2 linked regions of the Tamandua tetradactyla genome follow. The protein of the gene in region 2 purifies or fractionates together with the protein of the main gene of each other region. This does not show direct contact. Links are inferred from orthologs where the notes say so. Each region holds a gene or a part of one and is shown on either strand. Other genes may lie near its edges. The genes, in order: SERPINA1 and DERL1.

What was found.
Region 1: the proteins of DERL1 (region 2) and SERPINA1 purify together in Homo sapiens (affinity purification with western blotting; 4 studies listed by BioGRID). This does not show direct contact. The link is inferred for Tamandua tetradactyla from reciprocal best matches to the Homo sapiens genes DERL1 and SERPINA1.

What each region holds. Positions count from the first base shown.
Region 1 is NC_135338.1:55,472,903-55,482,837, reverse strand, and holds the start of SERPINA1 (alpha-1-antitrypsin), read left to right. Parts: upstream 1-5,352; 5' UTR 5,353-5,470; intron 5,471-9,935.
Region 2 is NC_135332.1:167,568,372-167,578,082, reverse strand, and holds the start of DERL1 (derlin-1), read left to right. Parts: upstream 1-5,230; 5' UTR 5,231-5,516; coding exon 5,517-5,669; intron 5,670-5,829; exon of another isoform or gene 5,830-5,957; intron 5,958-9,711. UniProt on the Homo sapiens protein: Functional component of endoplasmic reticulum-associated degradation (ERAD) for misfolded lumenal proteins. Forms homotetramers which encircle a large channel traversing the endoplasmic reticulum (ER) membrane.

The sequences.
Region 1 (9,935 bases), on a different chromosome or scaffold from region 2:
AAGAGAAGGAGGCAGACTGGCTGCATCGTCAACACCGTGGTGACTCTCTGTGCCTCAGTTTCCTCATCGAATGACAATTATGGAACTCATGGCATGGGATTGTGTGAGTTGATAATCACACAGCATTTGGAACAGAGCCTCGTACTGAGCACGTGCTTGAGAAGCATCAGCTGGGATAGAAGTCAGTTTGGGAATCTGTGTCATAAAATGAAAGCAGCGAGAGACTCCGGAAGACCTAGCAAACACAGATGCTTAAAGTCAATATGGACAACGTGAACAAGGTGAATCGACCCATTTCAACCCAAGGTCTATGTTAGGCAAGTTCTAAAGGGCCCCATGGTTCTCTGTTATCTGAGCCACCCACACAAAGTTGCATTTCTGATAAGCAAGTCCCAAAGTCCTGCTGCATCTCCCTTGGCCCCGGGCATGGGTGCACCCACAGTCCCAGCCCGCTGGCCTGCCCTGCTCGCTTTTCTCTCCCATTCCAGCAGGGAGCCTCAGACAGGGGCACCCACGTCATGAGGCAGGAAAAATGAGGACGTGCCTAGAACTTGGTGTCATTGCTGCCAAGCAAGTGGGTGCTTTCCAGAACATCTGCAGGGATTGCTGCAAGGAGAAAAGAGAGAGCACTGACAGGAGTGCCTATTGGACAATATGCGGCCATTTGAACATCGAATAGGAAATAATTATAGTTCAATAGGACAGGCTGCAAGTTCATAGTGACACTCAAAGAAAAGTTTGAAAGAAGTGTAGAAAAGCTTTGTTATGACACACGTTAGTTTTATTAATTTTAATAAGCAGGTGGCAGAACTATAAATGCATGTTTTAGTCCTTCTATCAGCTGTGTTGTCACTCACCAATGCATAGATATGCTTTATTTCCTTCTCTATCTGATTAGGACAAGGAATGAAAACAAGGCACTGTGAACAATCCACACAGAGCTGGAGAGAGCAAGAATCACATGCAGGAAGCAGAGCCAGAGGTTGCACACACAGGGAAGAAGGCTCCAGCAGGGCGTGGCAAATTGGTGGATTCACAAGTATGCCCAGAGTAAGTGAAATAATTGTGCAAACTCAATTCACCTCCAGAAGATAAAATCTTGAAACATCAGGTTAATCCTGTTAATTAAAACAATTTATGAGAAGACAAACACAAGTGCTGTTTGTGTTAACAAGCAGGCCCTGCATTAAACACCCTCATTTAAACCTCACAACGGTCATGTGAGAAAGGGATTATCATCCCACTTTATAGATGAGGAGACCGAGGTTTAGAGATGTAAAGTGAAGCCTTCCCCTGGATCCAAGTCTGCCTGCCTCTGATTGCTTTGGCATCTCACAGGTGCTCTGAAAGATGCTTCTGACCTTGTACCTCCAAGAAGCAAAATGAGGGCAGGCCCTCAGGAGAGGGGATTGGAGGCATTTTCAGATAAGCAGAGACCTGAATCTGAGAATAGTGCTACTCACCAAGCCTAGAACCCAGGACCTATCTAAAAGGTTTTCCAGCCCAGCTCCCCAAAGATGATGGAGGTGGGTGGGCATTGCCTTGCAGTCTGGCATGTGCCTGAGGCTGCCCTAAGCACTTGATGCATTGTCTCATTTACTCTTCACAATCTTGGTGGAAGGCACTATTCTTATCCCTATTTTACAGATAAAGAAACTGAGGCATAGAGACGTTAAGTGGCTTGTCTACAATCACACAAAAAGAGTAGAGTTAAGGTTTGGACCAGATAGCTTAGCCTCTGAGCCCGTGATTTAATCACTGATTTATAATGCCCCCCAAGAGAAGGGAGCAGTGCTGGAGCAGGGAGGGGAAAGTCTGAGAGTGGGGATGTCTGGTGTGTGTGTAGGGGGGAGGAGGGCAGCACAGGCTGGTTCCTACACTCTCTTACCAAGGGGTTCAGCAGCCCTGAAATCCAGCCAGGGGACCTCTGGTCTTTGATCAACTTGGCCCAGGGCCCTTCTCCAGCATACCCCACACCTCACCCACAACTTGTTGCAGACCCCAGCCTCAGCTCTCATGCCTCTCCCCATCCCACATGCCGGACTCCCATTCTTGGGCCCTATGGAGAGGTAAGATCTCCCCAGATGCCCCTTATTTACAACCAGCCAAGATATGCATTCACTCCAGGGAACAGCCCAGAGGCTAATAGACAATTCCAGAAGTAACCAAGTGGATACAATTTTCCCCACCATGGTCTGTGGTTCGTGGGCACAGTGCCCTCAAGAATGGCCACTGGGTGCCCCCTAGGCATTCTGTCCTTGCTCATTTTCCCAGACACCCCACCCCTTCTCTCAGGAGTATGCCCAGAGTAGTTCTCTGCAGCATCAAAGGTGATAGGAAGATGCCAAGAGGAAAGTGTGGGAGTTTAAAGATAGACAGATAAGGAAGGGTGGGACATGGAGTCCTTGACCCAAAAGTCTCAGGGAGGACCTGCACCCCAGGACTGGCCTGAGAGGTCTGCCCAGCAGAGAGATCTGCTGGATCCCTCCTGCATCCAGCCAGGATCTGGGACATACCTTCTCCCAGCCTCCAAGGGCCCCCTTTGGGCATTTCAGAGATGGCTCATCCTCTTCCTTCTGCAGCTGGCCCTGGGCACCAGCAGAGATTCCATATGCCCAAGCCTAGGCAAGTAGGGTCACGCCTGCCATCTCCATTAATCATGAGCTGGGTGCCATCCCTCTCACAGAGGCCAGGGGAACTGATGACTAGTTCTGGGCCACACAGCCCTGGGACAGGGCAGGACAGCTGGTGACACACAGAGCTACCTGGGCTGGAAAGGCATGGCATGGCATCTGCCTGACAAGCTAGCGGCTTTGTGTAAGGCCACTTCCTGCCCCAGTGCCCCCACCCCTCCAGATCTGTTGCCACTGCCAGGAGCCTCAGTCCTCCTGGGGAGGCAGAGATTGCACAGCACTCAGGGTGCCCACAGCCTCCCCGCAGCAGCCCAGGAGCCCAGGAGCATTGTTGGAGGAGGAGGAAGTGGAGGAGTTGGCCTGCCCAGCAGGCGTGGCGGCCACGGCAGCCCTGCAGCACCCAGAACTCAAGGTAGAGGGGCAGGTGCCCAGGCCACTGGCCAAGGAGACAGAGTTGGGGAATGCGGGAAGGTGGGCTTCCTTCCAGAGAGCATTGCTCACCCTGGGTGAGAGATAAGAGGGGCAGCTGGGCTGTGGGGCTTTTGTACAGATAGGGAACTGAGGCCCAGGGAGGGAAAGGAACTTGCCCAGGAGCATGGAGGACAGGCCCAGCTGTCTAGACTGTGAGCAGATGTAGAGTCCTGGAGAAAATGCCCACTTGTCAGCTCAGGAGAAAAAGCAGGGGCCTTAAAGGCAGAGGATGGAGCTGTGGGCCTAAAGGGGGAGTGGGGCAGAGAGGGGAACCTCGCCTTTCTGAGCCTCTGTTTCCCACTCCTATTAGAAAGGCAGTATACAAACTCAGCCCACAGGCTTCCTGTGAGTAAATGAAAGAATGCCTTGCCCCAGGGACCAACTGCCTAGAGGAAGCTCCTAGAACATACCCTTTCCTCACCCACCCCAAGGCCTTCCCTAATCATGGTCAGCAAGGGCTGTGGCCAGGACCTCAGGGAGACCCACTAATGCAGAGGAGGGATGGCAGGCTGAGCTGTGCACACCCAACTCTGGACTAATCTTGGGTTGCTGCATTTAGTCCTCACAACACCAAAATGGGATAGGAACCCACTTTACAGACAGAGAAACTGAGGCACAGGAAGGTTAAAGAATTTTCCTGAAGATTTCACCACTAGCGAGACACACCTAGCCCCCGAGTCCCTGTTCTGAACCTGGGTGTAAAGGAACCAGCAGGTCACTCATCTGGCAGAGCCCCAAAGTAGAAGCAAAACTGGGACTGGGTCCATGAGAGAAGGGGCTAAACTCATTTACTCACACACTCAGCAAATACCTTCTGAGTATAGCCCAGGTGCCAAGCAGGCACCAGACCCTGGGGTATGAGTGGGCAAAGCAAACAGAAGGTCCTACGTGAGGCATACAGTGTGGTCATCAGAGAGGCAGCAGAAGAAAGAAGGGACAAAGGGGGTGGGAGGGTTGATGCTGGTTCATTTAGGGCAAGGCCACGGAAAGCCTCTCTGGTTGGGGGGAGCTTGGGGAGAGGCCTGAATGGAGTGAGGGAACAGTGTTTCTGGCAGCAGGAACAGCTAGCCTCCCTGAGACTGGAGTAGGCCCACTAGATTCCAGGGAGAAAAGGTCAGTGAAACTGGAGCAGAATAATCACTGGAGTCCATGAAAAGAGGACCCAGCAGGGGGTTTGTGGGCCACTGTAGGGACTTTGATTTTGTCTCTGAGCCAGAGGGAGCCACGGATTGGGATGGAGGTGGCACAGGGGGTATGTGAATTTACTTAGGATTTTAAAGGGATCACAATCAAGAGGAGCTGGGCAGGGCTGGAGCCTACTGACCTCTGCCCTAGCACACCACCCCCAACCACCATCAGAGTCCCCAAGGCGACGGCCTGCACCTGTGGCCTGGACCACTTTCCTGAGGACAGGGCAAGCAGTGGATGTGTTGCACCCGCCGGCTGGGAGCTGAGCCTCCTTCTGTGACAGCAGCCCGGAAGCAGCGCTGAACAGAGGAAACAAGAGAAAGGACCTACTGCGGGTCAGGTATTTTAAACAAATTACCTTGTGCAGCACTGACAAGGATGCTAGGAGGGGAAACTTCCAACAACTATGAGGCAGAGAGAAACACCTCCTGGTTCAGAGAAGTGAAGCCGTCTGCCTGAGGCCACACAGCTCTTTAGTGGCAGATACAGGCAAGATTTGACCTAGAATGGCCTCAGCCAAAGCCAGACTCTCTTTACAAGTTCATACTCTGGTCCCCACCTGGACCCTTGGAGACCCACACGAGCCTAAAGTGACCATGTCGGCCTCATCATTTCCCACCATCCCCTTGGCAAAGTCAAGAGGGATTTTACACCGGAGGCTGGTTTGGTGATTTTAGATCAGGGGCCTCTCCTTTCTGGGCCTCAGTTTCCCCCTCTGATAATAACCCACATTAGCCTCCCCAGGCAGAGCCTTCAAAATGACTCAGCAAATGGGGGCTCTCGCTCTTGGGAGGGTGAGGCAGCCCTGGAGGGCTCCTGAGCAGGCGCATAGAGCTGGCCACGTGGGGCTGGGCCCGGAGGTCTGACTCACCCCCGACACACACTCACCCCCAGCCTTAGATGCAAGACGCGGCGGTTTATGAGCCAGAAAAGCCGGCTCCCTTTGGCATTCGGGGCAGAGGGCCATGCCGAGAGCGGAAGGGCAGCCTGGGTGGGCGGCCTGCTGCCCATCATGGACTTAGTCCCTGTTTGCTCCTCCGATAACTGGGTGACCTTGGTTAATGTTCACTAGCAGCCTCCCCCATCGTCCCATCTGCATCCACTGCTTAAATACGGACGAGCGCAGGGGATCTGTCTCCTCAGCTTTGGTCACCAGCCCGGCTCTGGGACCGTGAATCGTGAGTATTCTTTTGCTGGGGAGAGCCTCCCAAGACCCTCCTGCTCTGTGTGGCCAGGCAGGCAGCTGGTCTGGGGCCGATGGGGGGTGGCCCCAGGAGACTCAGGCAAGATGGAGCCTGAACCCCTATTTCCTGTTGTCATAGCCACAGCAGCCCCAGGGTCCCCGCTTTCTGAGCCTGCCCAGGGGTTCCTGATTGAGTATATAGTCACAGCCTATATATTCCATAGGCAAGAAGTAGAAGACCCTCCATTCTGGGGGTGGGGGGAGGTGGGGGTTGGCATCTGGCTCCACAGTCCCCGGACCCCAGAAGACCCCAGGACACAGCAGCAGCAACAGTGAGGGTGGTGGGTCCTGTTTGCACTGGACCTGTATCTTCACGGCTTTCCTGTGGTCTGTGTCCTACAAGCTTCACAGGCCCTCCATGCTTGGGTGCGTGCCCTTTTCCCCTTCTACAGGTGAGGAAGGTAAGGCCCAGGGAGGGGCAGTGACCAGCCCAGGGTCACGTAGGGACCGCATCGGCCTCCAGCCTGTTCAGACGGAGTGGAACTGTGCAGGCCCTCAGCCTGGATGGGCCCCCACATGCGGTGGGGACAGGGAGCTGGGGGCTGGGGCCAGGCTGCCTGAGTTTGAATCCTGGAGGGTGTATGATTTGGGGCAAGCTGTTACCCTCTGTGCCCCCAATTTCCTCATCTGTAAAATGGGTATAACCATAGTAGCCATCTTGGACGGTTTTTGTGAGCTTCAATTCACCCATACGTGAAAAGGCTGAGATGTTGCCAGGGGTCCTAGCCCCAGACCCCAGCTCTGCCTACCAGGGTCTACTCTAGAGGTATTTCTCAGGCTCTGGCCAGAAACCCCAAATGCTGGGCTGGCCTCAAGGCCCTCTGTCGGATGCTCAGTAGTCTTCTTTGCAGCTAACATCTCTGTCCTCTTATACAAAATAGAGATAACCTTTGCCCTCCCTCCTTCCCTCTCATCCCACCTTACTCTCTGGAATGTTGGAAGGATTTGATTTTTCTATTATCAGTTTTTGGAGGTGAGGGCTCCAGGGATAACTAAAGCCAGAGGAGCTGGAGGCCCATTTGGCAACCTGGAAAGGTCCATGACAGCATCAGTAACCATAACTTGGGCTTCCTGAGAGCTTACCATGCACCAAACACTTCTCAAGACTTTGTGTATATTCAATCTGCACGTTTTGGCTCTGGGAGGGAAGGCCATGCTGATCATCACCAGGAAGGTTCAGAGAGGGTAAGTGACTTGTCCAAGTCACACAGCCAATGGCCATTAGAACTCAGGCAATCTGGCCTCAAAGCCTCTCCCCTTGGCTGCTAAGCCATGCTGGCCCTTTATATTTAGCCAGGCCATCTCTGAGGTTTTTTTCTGTTTGAAGACTCCTCACTTCAGCTTTGAACGAAGAGAATGCAAGGAATGGAGCAGGAATGCCTAATCTTATATCCAGTTTCTAAGCTCCTAGCTCCGTGGTTTTTAGTAACCTCCTGGTGTCTCCATTTCTCCAACTATAAAATAGGCTAATAATAATTCACCCTTCATGGGGTAAGCTCTGAGGGAAGATTAAATGGGACAGTGCCCATAAAACACCGGATGTTTAGTAAGTGCAATGCTGCTTCTGTTTGTTTAGCATAGGGCTCGGAGCTAATAAACCTTAAATTAACATGAAGAGTTGAATATACTGTTTGTTTACCAAATTCAGAGGTAACACCGCCTCACTCCTTTAACGCCCCTGGATAGAAATGGTGTGAGATCAGGCAGAAGGACAGCACACGCCATTCTCTCCTGCCTGCCCAGTCCTGCTCACACCTGCCCTGGATATTGGCAATAGCACCATTAGATTCTCACTGTTTGGTTTAAAGTGTGGACTCTGTGCTCACATACTTCTGATGACATCACCACCCAGTTCCTCTTCTCCAGTTAGGTTTCCCCAGCCTGGGCTTTGGGGTGTCCTCCCTCCCAGAGGGGGCTGGCCTTGATAAAAACGAGAGAATCGAATCGAGGCCTTGGGCTCCTTGGGTTGTAAGGAACAGATTCAGAAGCAAATGAACCAAAAAGGGGATGCTAGAGGCCAATGTCAGATCCTCCAGGGCCCAATTCTGATTTTCTGTGGGTCAAAGACCTGAAGACGCAGCTGCCTCAAATGGCGGCCAGAGTGGTGAGAAAACAAAGGGTGGTTCAGGATTTGTCCCTAACTTGCTGTGTGAGCCTGGCCAGGCCCTGCCCATCTCTGGGCCTCAGTCCTTCACTATGAAAGAAGGAAATTAGTGTGTAGGATGTAACACCCGGGAAGATTAGAGGTAGATACTCACTGCCTGCACCACTGGCTATAGTTGCCCCACACCAGTGTGCCCCTGAAAGGCCAGAAGCTCCTGGAGTGGGAGCGTACCTCACCCATGCCCCTCCCATGAAAATTCTCAGTCTCAGTTGTGCTCAATCAAACCCCGGATCTACCTTCAATAAAAATCTAATGTAATCAGGAGACCTCATTTTGGCCCATCCAGGCCCTCTAGCTCCAGTGAAGGAAAACAGGGCCCCAGGGACAAGGCAATGCCAGCCCAGGGCCAAGTGTACAGTAGTGGAAACACAGGGATCCCCGGCCTCTGACCTCAGACCACTCAGCACACCTAGTGTCCCCACCTTGCCTGTGCCCAAGTCCCATCCAGTCCCTGAGCCCTGCAAGGATGGGGAATTTCCAGACCTCCTAAGGACTCCCAAATCCAGTCAGGAAGTAAGGGAGACACCTGAGGGAGATGGAAATAAACAGAACTAATTTTAGCACTGGCCTTGGAGCTGAAACAACTGGCTAGTTTTAAGGAAAACATAAACATGTTTGCTCTATTTGGATTATTAGAAGCACAAAAGTCAGAAAAAAGGTGGTAAAGGGAAATAAGTTTAGTGATTCATTCTGTTGTTTTGGAGGGAAGAAACTTCTAAACGTCCAAGTGTGGACTTTTCTTTTTCCCAACTTTTCCCATCAGGAAAATTCGAGATCATATCCCAAATTCGAGAATAAATTTCTCTTTGCATTTTATGATGATTTTAGTTATGTGCACAATAGCTAGGTGTCCATTGGCAGGGTCTCCTCTTCTTTGACCTCAGTTTCTCTATCAGTGGTGAGAGTGGGTTGAACTTATGAGGCTACAAATGGGTAGCCCAAGGCCTGCGCAAATCTGGACAGGAAGCTCAATGGAGCAGGGCAGGCTCTGTGACCACAGACACCGTTACTTTCAGCATCCCGAGGCACAGCTGCCCTCACTGGATCAGCCAGAGGCCTTCAGCTCCCTGTATTTCACCCCCAGACCTCAAACACATTTGCCTCCCCTGCCTGGCCCTGAAGGCTTGAGTTAGCAACTGATACTACTCTTGTTGACAAAAGAGTTGTTCTCTCAGACCCCTCCAGCTAAGGGTTGGCATCTTGACTTATTTCACCTAATTCTCCCCAAAATCCCATTTCACAGATGAGGCACAATGAGGCTCAGAGAGATAAAATGAGAGGAGGTAAGCAACAGACCCAGGATTAGGACCTGGATGTGTCTGAAAATAAAGGCAATGCTTTTTCGGCATCCTTGCACACTCATTCCCTACCCCACCCCACCACACACACACACACACACACACACACACACACACATACACACCTGATATCCAGGAGACACAGCATCTGCCATGCACATAAGTGGGAGGCTCAGGGCTAGGACAGTTCAGGGCTCCAACAGAAAGGAGAATGGCCTGTTCATTCTTGGGGCCCCAGACTCATGGTGGGGCTGCTCCCTCTCTCAGGAAAGGCTTCTGTGGGCAATGAGTCCACAGGGGGATTTAGTGGGTTTAGGTCCCCAGCTGCTCTGAGGAGGTGTCACTAAACTCCAGGGGGTGGAAGCACTACAGGACGTTTGATCACACAGTGATGGCAGGAGGGAGCTGTGTGCTTCTGACGGCCACTGCAGGACCCTGGGGACCCCCACCAGGTCCCATATCCCAGGAGGGAATGGACAGCCCTCTCAAACTGAGACAAGACACAATGAGAAAATTCAGTTGGGTCTCGGTCAAGCTAAATCCTTCTCTTCTGCCAATTAAGGAGAGGTCCTCAAGCCAGCCAGCCTGCTCTGAGCAGGTGACCCATAGGGGTCAGCTTTGACCCCAGGGAACAAATGCAGTTGAGGATGTGAAGCAGACGCTGTGAACATATGGAGGCATTTTGGGTTTCACAACACAAGGTAGAGGGTTGTTCCAAGCATGCAGTGAATACTGCTCAGGGATGCCACTAAGCATCTCACAATGCACAGGACAGACACCCAGAGCAAAGGAAAGCCAGGCCCCAAAAGGGGACAGAGCCAACATTGAATATTCTAGGCTCCCTTGACCCAGTCCTTAGGAGAAGCTATGAAACCACATTCAGTGAGTTTTACTGTCCATGACCATGTGAGCAGGTCCCTTACACATGTGGCACCTTA
Region 2 (9,711 bases):
TTCCTAATTTTTATTTATTGGGTTTGAGATGGTTACAAACTATATGTGTGAATGTTTGTTTTATTATACAGGAAACGAGTATTAAGCATATGCACATAACTTGAAACATGGGCTGTTTTGCACATTTTATCCCACACAGGTAACCAAACAAAATTTTTATCAGTAGCACATATATCTTTGTCAAGTAGAGGAATTCGCTTATACCAGACATACAGTAAGCACTTAATACGTTTTATTGAAAAAACTGAGATGTTGTTTAAACTTAAACTACTTCAAGCTTTTTTGTTTTTGTTTTTTAGTTAAAACAATAATCCTATAACAATAGACAAATGGCCCAGATTAGCCCTTCGTCTGCGTACAAGTAGGTCACGTGCTGCTCTTGTCATTCATTCATTCAACTAGTGAGTCAGCCAGTCAGTCACTCAACATTTTGAATGCCAATTATGTGTCCAGCCCTGTGCAAGGACCTGGGGACGGAGAGGTTAAAAAAAAAAAGATGAATTCCATGTCCTTGGAATGCTCATAGCTTTGGTTGAAATGGAGAGTACAAGGGAAAAATAAATATGTAAGTATAAAACCATGTGATCAGCGCTATAAGTGAGGTATCAGTGGAATTTCAGAGAAGAGAGCAATTAATGCTCCTAGAGGGTGGGGTGGGGAAAAAAAACAAGAGGAATGACATGTGAGGTAGGCCTGGAAGGATGAAGTAGAAAAGGCTTTGTACACAGAAGAGAAAATGAGCTTTGGAGGTTGTTTATTATTGCAGCATGAAGTAGCCCTTCCTAATATATTGATTTTGTTCCCATGTTACAGATGAGGAAACTAAGGCTTGGAGTTGTTATATAATTTGCCCAAGGTCATAGAGCTACTGAGCCAAGATTCAAATGTAGATCTGTCTGGCTCCATTATCTCACTCTGCCATACCTATGTTTTTCTGCCTCTCATGCACCAGATTTATATGTTTTTTCCAAAAGACTGCCTTGGACCAGAAAATGATTGATTGCTAGCCTGGGCTACAAATCTTTGGGAACCCGTATAACAAGATTCTGTTCCATTCCCCTTGTAAAAAAGGACTTATTCATACATTAAAGGGAGTGTTGCTCAACAAATGGTTCTCAAGAGCACAGAGGAAGTGGGTCTAGGGCAAAGTGTGGTAGGAATGTAGACACGGCTAGTTTTGCCTGCCCGGCCCTCCCTCCCCATACTAAGAACTGCACTGCTCTCATACAACACTTTTTTAGCCCACCTGGGTCACTGTGATTGGCCCAGGGTGGGGCTTGACTAAAGAGCCAATCAGAGCCTTTTGCTTGGATTTTTGAGTATAAGACCAAGAACAGCAAGTCATAGTCCCTCTCTGGTAGTAAAACCTGGGGCTTGCCAAAAGCAGTGGCTTCAGCGTTGTGTAGACAGCCGATCTGAGAGAGGCGGACTGATGCTCAGGCAAAATCAGAAAAAAAAAAAAAAAAAAAAAAGAGATGGAAAGAGAGCATCCTGGTAGCATTTACATCCATGATTCTGATTGTTCCAGCAGCACCACTGGCCTCCTGTCCTTCCTGTACTATGGTTACTCTAGCTAAAACATTGCTTTTATTTCTAAAGCAGATGGAATTGGAAGAAAAAGAGATGGAAGGTTTTAGGAACTGGCATTACATGAGCTGAATTTGGAAGGATGAATAGGGTTATCCAGGTGGAGGAAAAGTGAGGAGAGGAAACATCATCTATAGAAAGGTTTGTGTGTGTGTGTGTGTGTGTGTGTGTGTGTGTGTGTATGTTGGGAAACAGCATGGTGTCTTCCAGAAACGGGAGGAGCTCAGTGCAGTGAAAGCACAGACTGCACTGGGTGTCATTATGTATGTAACATGTATGTAAGTGCTGAGCACTTAGAAAGCCCGCGATGATGATGATGATGATGGTAGTTATTTTTATATTACTGCCAAGGTGAAGGGTATGAACATAAGAGTAAGAATATGCAAAAGTCATAAAAGGACCTGGACTGCCATTATAAAGAGTTAGGATCTTGTCCTTAAAGGTTCTAGGGAAACTTGAAGTGGTTTCTGGATACATCCTTCTAACTGCAGTGGGAAGATCACTTAAAAAGACTTTGAGACTTGAGGCAGAAATAGGGTAGTTGCTGTTCTAATTGAAATAAAGAGTGTTTAAGTGTTGACCAACTCAGTCACCTTGGAAGGAATCCAAACTGGCAACAGTTAAATGTCAAGGTTTTATTGACACCTTGTGTAGGAAAACTGACATTGCAAAGGAAACACTTCTATTTCATCAGTAAAAAAGAATTATGTGTCATACAAGCTAACTGATGCAAACCCAAGCAACATTTGCCATTTTCTAGATGACGTGGTTATTTGGCCTTATCAGGGGCAGAAGGAGGCAGAAGCCACTGCAAGTGAACTATGACATAGTGCATCAGTACCAACCCTCCCCCCATTCTACTGTGAGTCAGAATAGAAAAAGCAAATCAAAAGCATGTGTTCAAAGCTGCTTAAATAAATATTCATGGCTAGGTGTTCTCATAAAACATACATGAAAGCAACCAAGGGCAGTGCTTCATGTATAATCAAAAGGATTTGGCATCTACAGCTGAGCTAGGACAGTATTCAGAGGAGAGGGGAAAAGTGATGTTGTGTCTTGACACGTAGTGAGATCATTCCCAAATACAATGAGAAAATTGCTTAGATAGATGAGGCTTTCTGAAAGGCGTCCTTGAGACTAAAGGAAGGAGAATAGAAAGTGAAGCTCCCTTTTCTGGTTTGCAGTCTACTGGAATGCAATATACACCAGAACTGGAATGGCTTTTATAAAAGGAATTTATTAAATAGTTACAAGTTTACAGTTCTAAGGCTATGTAAATGTCCAAACTAAGGCATCCAGGTAAAGATACCTTAATTTAAGAAAGGCGGATGCATCTGAACATCTCTGTCAGCTGGGAAAGCAAGCTAGTCCCTTGCAGGTCCCTTGCTCCTGGACTTCATTTGGCCATTTGGGCCTCTGTCCCTGTGGGGATTCCTCACTTTGCTTCTCTGGGATTGGCTTTCATCTCTTGACTTCCCTTGGCTTTCTCTGGGTTCTGGCTTGCTTAACATTTCACTCATGGCAATGTCTGCTGGGCTCCAAGCATCTCCAAACATCTGTGTCTCTATTCTCCAAATATCGGTATCTGTGTCAGCTGTGCTTTGAAGTTTCTGTTGGCTCACTCTCTGTCAACGCCAAGGTTTCTGTCGTTTCTGGCTCTCTCCCAAATGTTTCCTCTTTTAAAGGATTCTAATAAACTAATAAAGACTCACCTGGAATGGGTGGAGTCACATCTCCTTCTAATCAAAAGTTCACACCCACAATTGGGTGTGTCATATCTCCATGGAGATAATTTAATCAACATGTCCACTGTTTATACAACATTGTAGTTTTTCTTTTATATCAATATTGTCTTCCTAAGGTTGTGCCACTTTATACTCCTACCATGTATGAATGGGTTTCTTCACATATTCTCTGCATTTAATATTTATTAGGTCCCCAAATGTTGTTTGTGTTCATTGGGCTGCGGAATAGTTACTGTCTTCTTATCCTGTAAATGCTGATTTTGTTAATATCATGGACATGGTGCTAAGAAATGTTATCTAAAATCACAAACTGTCAAAAACTTTGTGGTTTGAACTTAAACGTGTGTGAATGGAACATCTTTCTCCTGTCTGGAGGAGTTGAGCCATTTGGGTTGCTTTGATGTAGTATTTTCAATCCAGGTGTAAAGCCTTGAATAATAAGATTTCAGGCCCAGTATTCCACATTTATCTTAACTTTGAGGTTTCTAAGGGAAGAAGACTCTGGATCTGTATGGTGGTTGGAAGCTGTACGTATCCTGGAAAAACACATGCTTTAATGTATTCCTGTGGGTATGAACCCATTGTAAGTAGCACCTTTTGATGAAATTACTCTGGTTAAGGTGTAACCCACCTCAATCAGGATGGGTCTTAATCCTATTATTGGAGTCCTTTATAAGCAGAGTGAAATTCAAACAGACAGAGAGAAAGCCAGAGGGGAAGCAGCCAGAAGCTGAAATCAACAGACCTGGAAGGGGAGAAACCAGTATAGCCATCATGTGTTGTGCCAAGTGACAAACCAAGGACCAAGGATTACCAGCAGTCATCCCCAGAATGTCAGTCTTCCGGGAGAAAGCATCAGTTTGATGATGGCTTGGTTTGGACTTTCTTTTAGCTGCAAACTGTAAGGAAATAAATTTGAATTGCTTGAGCAGCCTAGAAAACTAAAATAGTCTGCTTCCCACTTTAGGCCTAGGCCTGATGTTAACCCCATTTACACAGAGCCCTGCTTTGCTTTGAACATAGCAAAACACTTGATTTAAATTTACCAAAAACTCTATCTTTCCTCATAATAACCAATAATAGCCCTGTCTTGTTTTGTTTGGTAAGATAGCCCAGAGTTCTGCTGGTGTGCAATCTCCTTTGTTTAAAACAAAGTTTATAAATCTTTGTTGCACTACAGGAGTGTTCCTGCTGGTATTATCACAGGGCTTTATCAATTCTGAGCTGTAGGCTCGAAATCTGAAAACAAAAGAAAAAATTCCATCAATCTCTTTTTTACAGATTTAAAAAAAATTAAACAAGATGAACTTTCATGTGCTTGTAATTTAAGTCTTGCCTAGTGAACTACATGAACATCAAGATCATTTCTGTTTTCAGTTCCTCCAACACTCCAAGCAAGGTGGAGCAGCTGTTTACATGAAAAACTCTTCCCTTATCTTTGCCTGGCTGGCGCAGCCCAACATCATCTCCTCAGAGGAGGACTCCCTGACCATTCTCATCTAAAATAGTCATCTTTCCCCACAGCCTCCCCGCCCCTGCCTCAGTCTACTCCATCACCCTATTATATTCTCCTTATCACTATCCAAAATTATCTTACTCAATTATTTATTTGCTCATTATCTGTCTATTCCTAATAATGTAAGCTCTAAGAGAGATGGTACCATGTTCTCAGCCTGGTACTCAGTAGGCCCTCAACAACCATTTGCTGAAACAACACAAACACGCGGTAACAGCTTGCTTCCCTTTAAATACTTACCACGGTGGATCCACCTGCTTTCTATCTCTGGCGGAAAAAAGGTGGAGGGTATCCGGCCTCGCCATTGGCTGAAGCATTTGTCGTTGCTCCAGACAACCACTGTTTCCCACCAGTCCTGCCTTCGCCCCGCCCCTCACGGCTCCGCCCCGTCCCCAGGGCTGCGGACCCGCGACCCAGTGGTAAAAGTCACTCTTGCCCTTTAAGCGGCGGGACTTCTGGTCACGTTGTCTGCGGCCGCCGGAAGGGGAAGTTTCCCCTCGGAACGCTCCCTCGCTTGTCCGAATTCGGTGGCGCCACGTCCACCCGTCTCCGCCTTCTGCACCGGGGCTTCCCTCTACACCTTCCACTCGCGGAGCCGGCCGCGTAGGGAGGGAGGCCAGGACCGGAGTCGGGCGGCTGTGCACATCCTGGCTACCTGAGTGACGAAGATGTCGGACATCGGGGACTGGTTCAGGAGCATCCCGGCCATCACGCGCTACTGGTTTGCCGCCACTGTCGCGGTGCCCTTGATCGGCAAACTCGGCCTCATCAGCCCGGCCTACCTCTTCCTCTGGCCCGAAGCCTTCCTCTATCGTTTCCAGGTACTGTCCGGCTCCTGAGTCAGTGGAGACTACAGGCCCCAGGGGGCCCCGCGGCTGCGAAGTGTTTGCCAGCAGGCTGCGGGCGCGCGGTGTCTGCTGGGATTCGTAGTGCATCAGCTCGAGGGGGTTAGGGCGGGGTCTTGGGCTGGAAGGGAGGCCGAGGGGTCTGTAACGAGGACCTGGAGAGCTGGACACGTGGGTTTAGTCTGGTAGGAAGGGACCGACCCTGTCCTTGTATTAAGATTGTGCTCCCCACGCTCCGCACTCGGTGAAGGAGGCAGTGAAAAGGTAAGTCAGTGACATTTGTCAATATTGGATACCGGTGTTGGGACCCCCAAAACGCCAAGGTTAGCAGTCTGGGTGGGACGACCTGGAGCACATGCCTTTTACCTACATCTGTCACCCACGTGGGTGGCATGTAGGTTCCAACTTGGCAGATATCGAAGTGATCAGTCCTTTTCATGTTAAGGGAATTTTTTTTTCTCTGTAGGAGGTCAGAAGTTCAGAGGTGTTTGTTTAATCTGCGTCTCCCTCAGTTTAAACTACTGTTGACATGTAGTAGTTTAATGTACGAATGAATAAAGAGTAAATTGCACCAGAAATGGGAGATGCTGTTATTTTCTTAGGCCTGAGGAAACAATGTAGAGTGTTCACCTGGTAAGAGAATGTTAAGTTACTGGGGGTTATTTTTATTCACCTTTTTTAGTAGTTTAACTTTAATTGCTTGTAGGTCAGATACCAAGATTTGAGATTAAAGTCAGTGAGTGCAGTATTTAGCCCGAGGATAGCACTCATTTTTGCTTCTCCTCACTGGCTACTTAGTCTCCTTTGCTTGTCCTCTCCTGACCTTTAAATGTTGTGTTGTGCTCCAGGGATCAGTTGCAGGACCTCTTCTCTATATTCTGCACCTGGGTGATTTCATTCAGTTTGGTGGGTTTAAATACTTTTTAAACTGAAGACCCCCAAATACAAATACAGATATATTTCAGTCCAGATGTCCTCTTTTCTAGACTTGTAGATCCAACAGTCTATTTGAGATCACCACTTGGATGACTAACAGGCATCTCAAACCTGACATGTTCTAAATGGAATTCTCCTGCCTTCTGTTTTAGAAGTAAATAGCAACTCCAGTATTACAGAAGCTCAAGCTTCTGTAAAGTTTTGTAGTCATCTCTGACGTTTCTTACTGTCACACTCCACAATTGCTCAGCAAATTATGTTGAGTCTACCTTAGACATCGCAATCCATTATCATCTTCCAATTTTATTCCTTTCAATCTTTTCTCCAAACAGCTGGAGTGATCCTGACAAGTCCTGTCAGTCCTCTGCTCCGAGCTCTTTGTGTCTTCTCAGATGGCAGAGTAAAGTCTCAGTCCTTTCAGTGGCCTGCAAGCCCCCCAGCTACTTCTCTGACTTCATCTCCCACTCTTCTCCTCCTTGTACTTTAGGTTCCACAGTGGCATCCTTGCTGTTCCTTCATCATATAATGATCCCTCATCAGGGCTGTTGCACATGGTGGTCCCTTCTTGAGGAAGATAACTGTGGCTCTCTGCTTTATCTCCTTACCTCCTTCAGGTTTCTGCTCAAATGCCACCTTGCCAGTGGGGCCTTCTCTGATAGCCTTACATAAAATAGTACCTGTCCTTCACACTGTCTCCTTTACCTTTACTTTTCTTTGCCATGTATCACTTCTTAACATTTGTTATTCTGCTTCCCCTCAGAGTGTAAGACTCTATGAGAGTAGAATCTATGTCTTGTTTACTACTACCTTGTTCCCTAGACTAGTACCTGGCACATAGCAGGTGCTTATTTATTGGTTAAGTGCATGGATATTGGGTACCAGCTGTGTGCTGGGTACTGATGATACAATAATGAATGGATCAGAAGAAGTTCTGGCTCCCATGAAGAAAATAAAAGAGAGGCCTGTGATGGAGAGTGGAGTGTAATATTTGACAGTGTGGTCCAGAGAGGTGTCAAATAAGGTATTTGAACTGAATCCTGAGTAACAGCAGCCAGCCTTGGGGAAGAACTTGTTCTGGGACAGCCTTCCAAGAAAAAGGAATAGGAAGTGAAAAGGTTAGGGGCAGTAACAAGGAGCAGACGACTGAATTGCTGGTGAAGTGAGCTGTAGGAATGAGGCCCAGTAGATGAGGACAGGAAGATAGTCAGGGGTATGTGCAGTAAACTGAACTTGGAAAAGTAGGTCAGGGCCAGATCTTATAGGGCTTTCTAAGGCCATGTTAAGTGTGTTGAAGTTTATTTTGAGGGCAAAAGGAGTTTCTGGAGGCTTTTGAGTGAAGGACTGACAAGATTGCCTTTTTTACTTCATTGGGTGGACTCCGTGAATGTGTGTGCATGCGCGGTGGGAGAAGGAATGGAGGTGGGGGTTGCCTACCATGGCGTGTGCACACGTGTGTGTGTGTCTGAGAGAGAGAGGGAGGGAGAGCGAGCGCACTTTGAAGAGGGATAGGTAATGGGGTCAGAGAGGAGTTAAGGTAGGAGGCAAAAGAGATAGTGAATTTTACTCAGGGTTGGCTCTGAAGTTGGAAGTGGACAGATTTGGGAGTTGGAATAGACAAGATTATTGTTGGACTGGATGTGAAGAATGAAGGGGTGAAAGAAACAGGATTCAAAGATGGCATTCAGGAATTAACCAAGAGGCTGGTGGAGCCATTTATTGGGGTTAGTGTGTAGGGAGGCTCAGGTTGGGGGGTGTGGATGAAGATTTAGGCTTTGACCTAAGTCTGAGGTACTTTTTCTGTATCCAGAAAGTCGAGTAGGCAGTTGGGTATAAGGCTGAAGTGCACCCAGAATGGCGTTCTGTTTTCTTTTTATTTGCTTTAGTAAGTATCTATTGCAAGTGTTGTGCACATTTTGCCTGGTGCCCTTATTGGGTAATATGTGTACATGGGGAGCCACGGTTGTAAATCATTTTGTGAAAAGAATTTGATCAACACTTTGACCCTTGCAAAATCTTGCTGACTTGTATGATCAAATTAGTAAAATAAGTAACATGAAAAAGCCTTTCTGATAGGGAGCAGGTGAATAATGTTAAGAGGTGAAGTGACTAGTAATCTCCTTTAGAAAGAGTTCTCATTCACGTCACACCTTTCCCATTTTTCCCATCTTCCTTATTTTGTTTCTTGTGGGCTTGAGGAGTGGTGGAAGGAGGGAGGTGCAATGCATTGATTGCCCAAGTATGGAAAGACTAATCTCTATACTTTGTTCTTCTCTAGACAAGTGTGACTTTTCGACCCACCTGGAGGAACTCATTCGCAAATGAAGCAGTTGAGGAAAAATTGCATCTGAGAGGCTGATATGAAAGGACAGAGTGTGTGTGTTGTTGCTTGAGCAGAATTTCCGCTATAGGCTCATTGTTTCAGTCAAAGCTGGATCTTTAATGTAGACCTGGGAATTTTGCTTCTTGCATTTAAGAAAAAATTGATGATGATTCATTTAGAATTGTGGATTTGTGTTGGAAGTCAGAAAAGTTATTTTTCCTCCATAACTATTGGTTTCCTCTGAATGCTTATTGGTCTGGAATGCTGAAGTTTAAAATGTTATTTCCTTAGTTTGGGTAAATCGAAACACTACATTGTGATAAGACTCAACTACACTGTAGTCCAGAATTTCTCCCCATTTCTAGTCCCTTATAATTACACCAAACATTCGAACAGTGCACAGCGATGAAATGTCTTCATATTGGTCCTTGATCAACTCAAGGAGAAGCTGTGATTTCCTACGGCTGCCCGCCTTTGGTATTTCTTCATTTCTTTGGACAAAATAACGTCACTCCCTTACACCTGTATTGTGCTGCTCCATATGTTAGCTCCGTCTCTTGCAATCAATCATCCTGAGATAGTGTTACCCTGTTTTATTGACAACTGCAGTTTCAGTTTCTATTTTGGTGAGTTGAAAATAGTTCTGGGTTGTCTGTTGAACTACTTTGCATAATTTCTACCAAAACACATAGTTAAGAGTTTAGTAAGAAGGTGATTTCTTCCAAGTCAGTCTTAGCAAATTATTGTTCCTTTTTGTTAGAG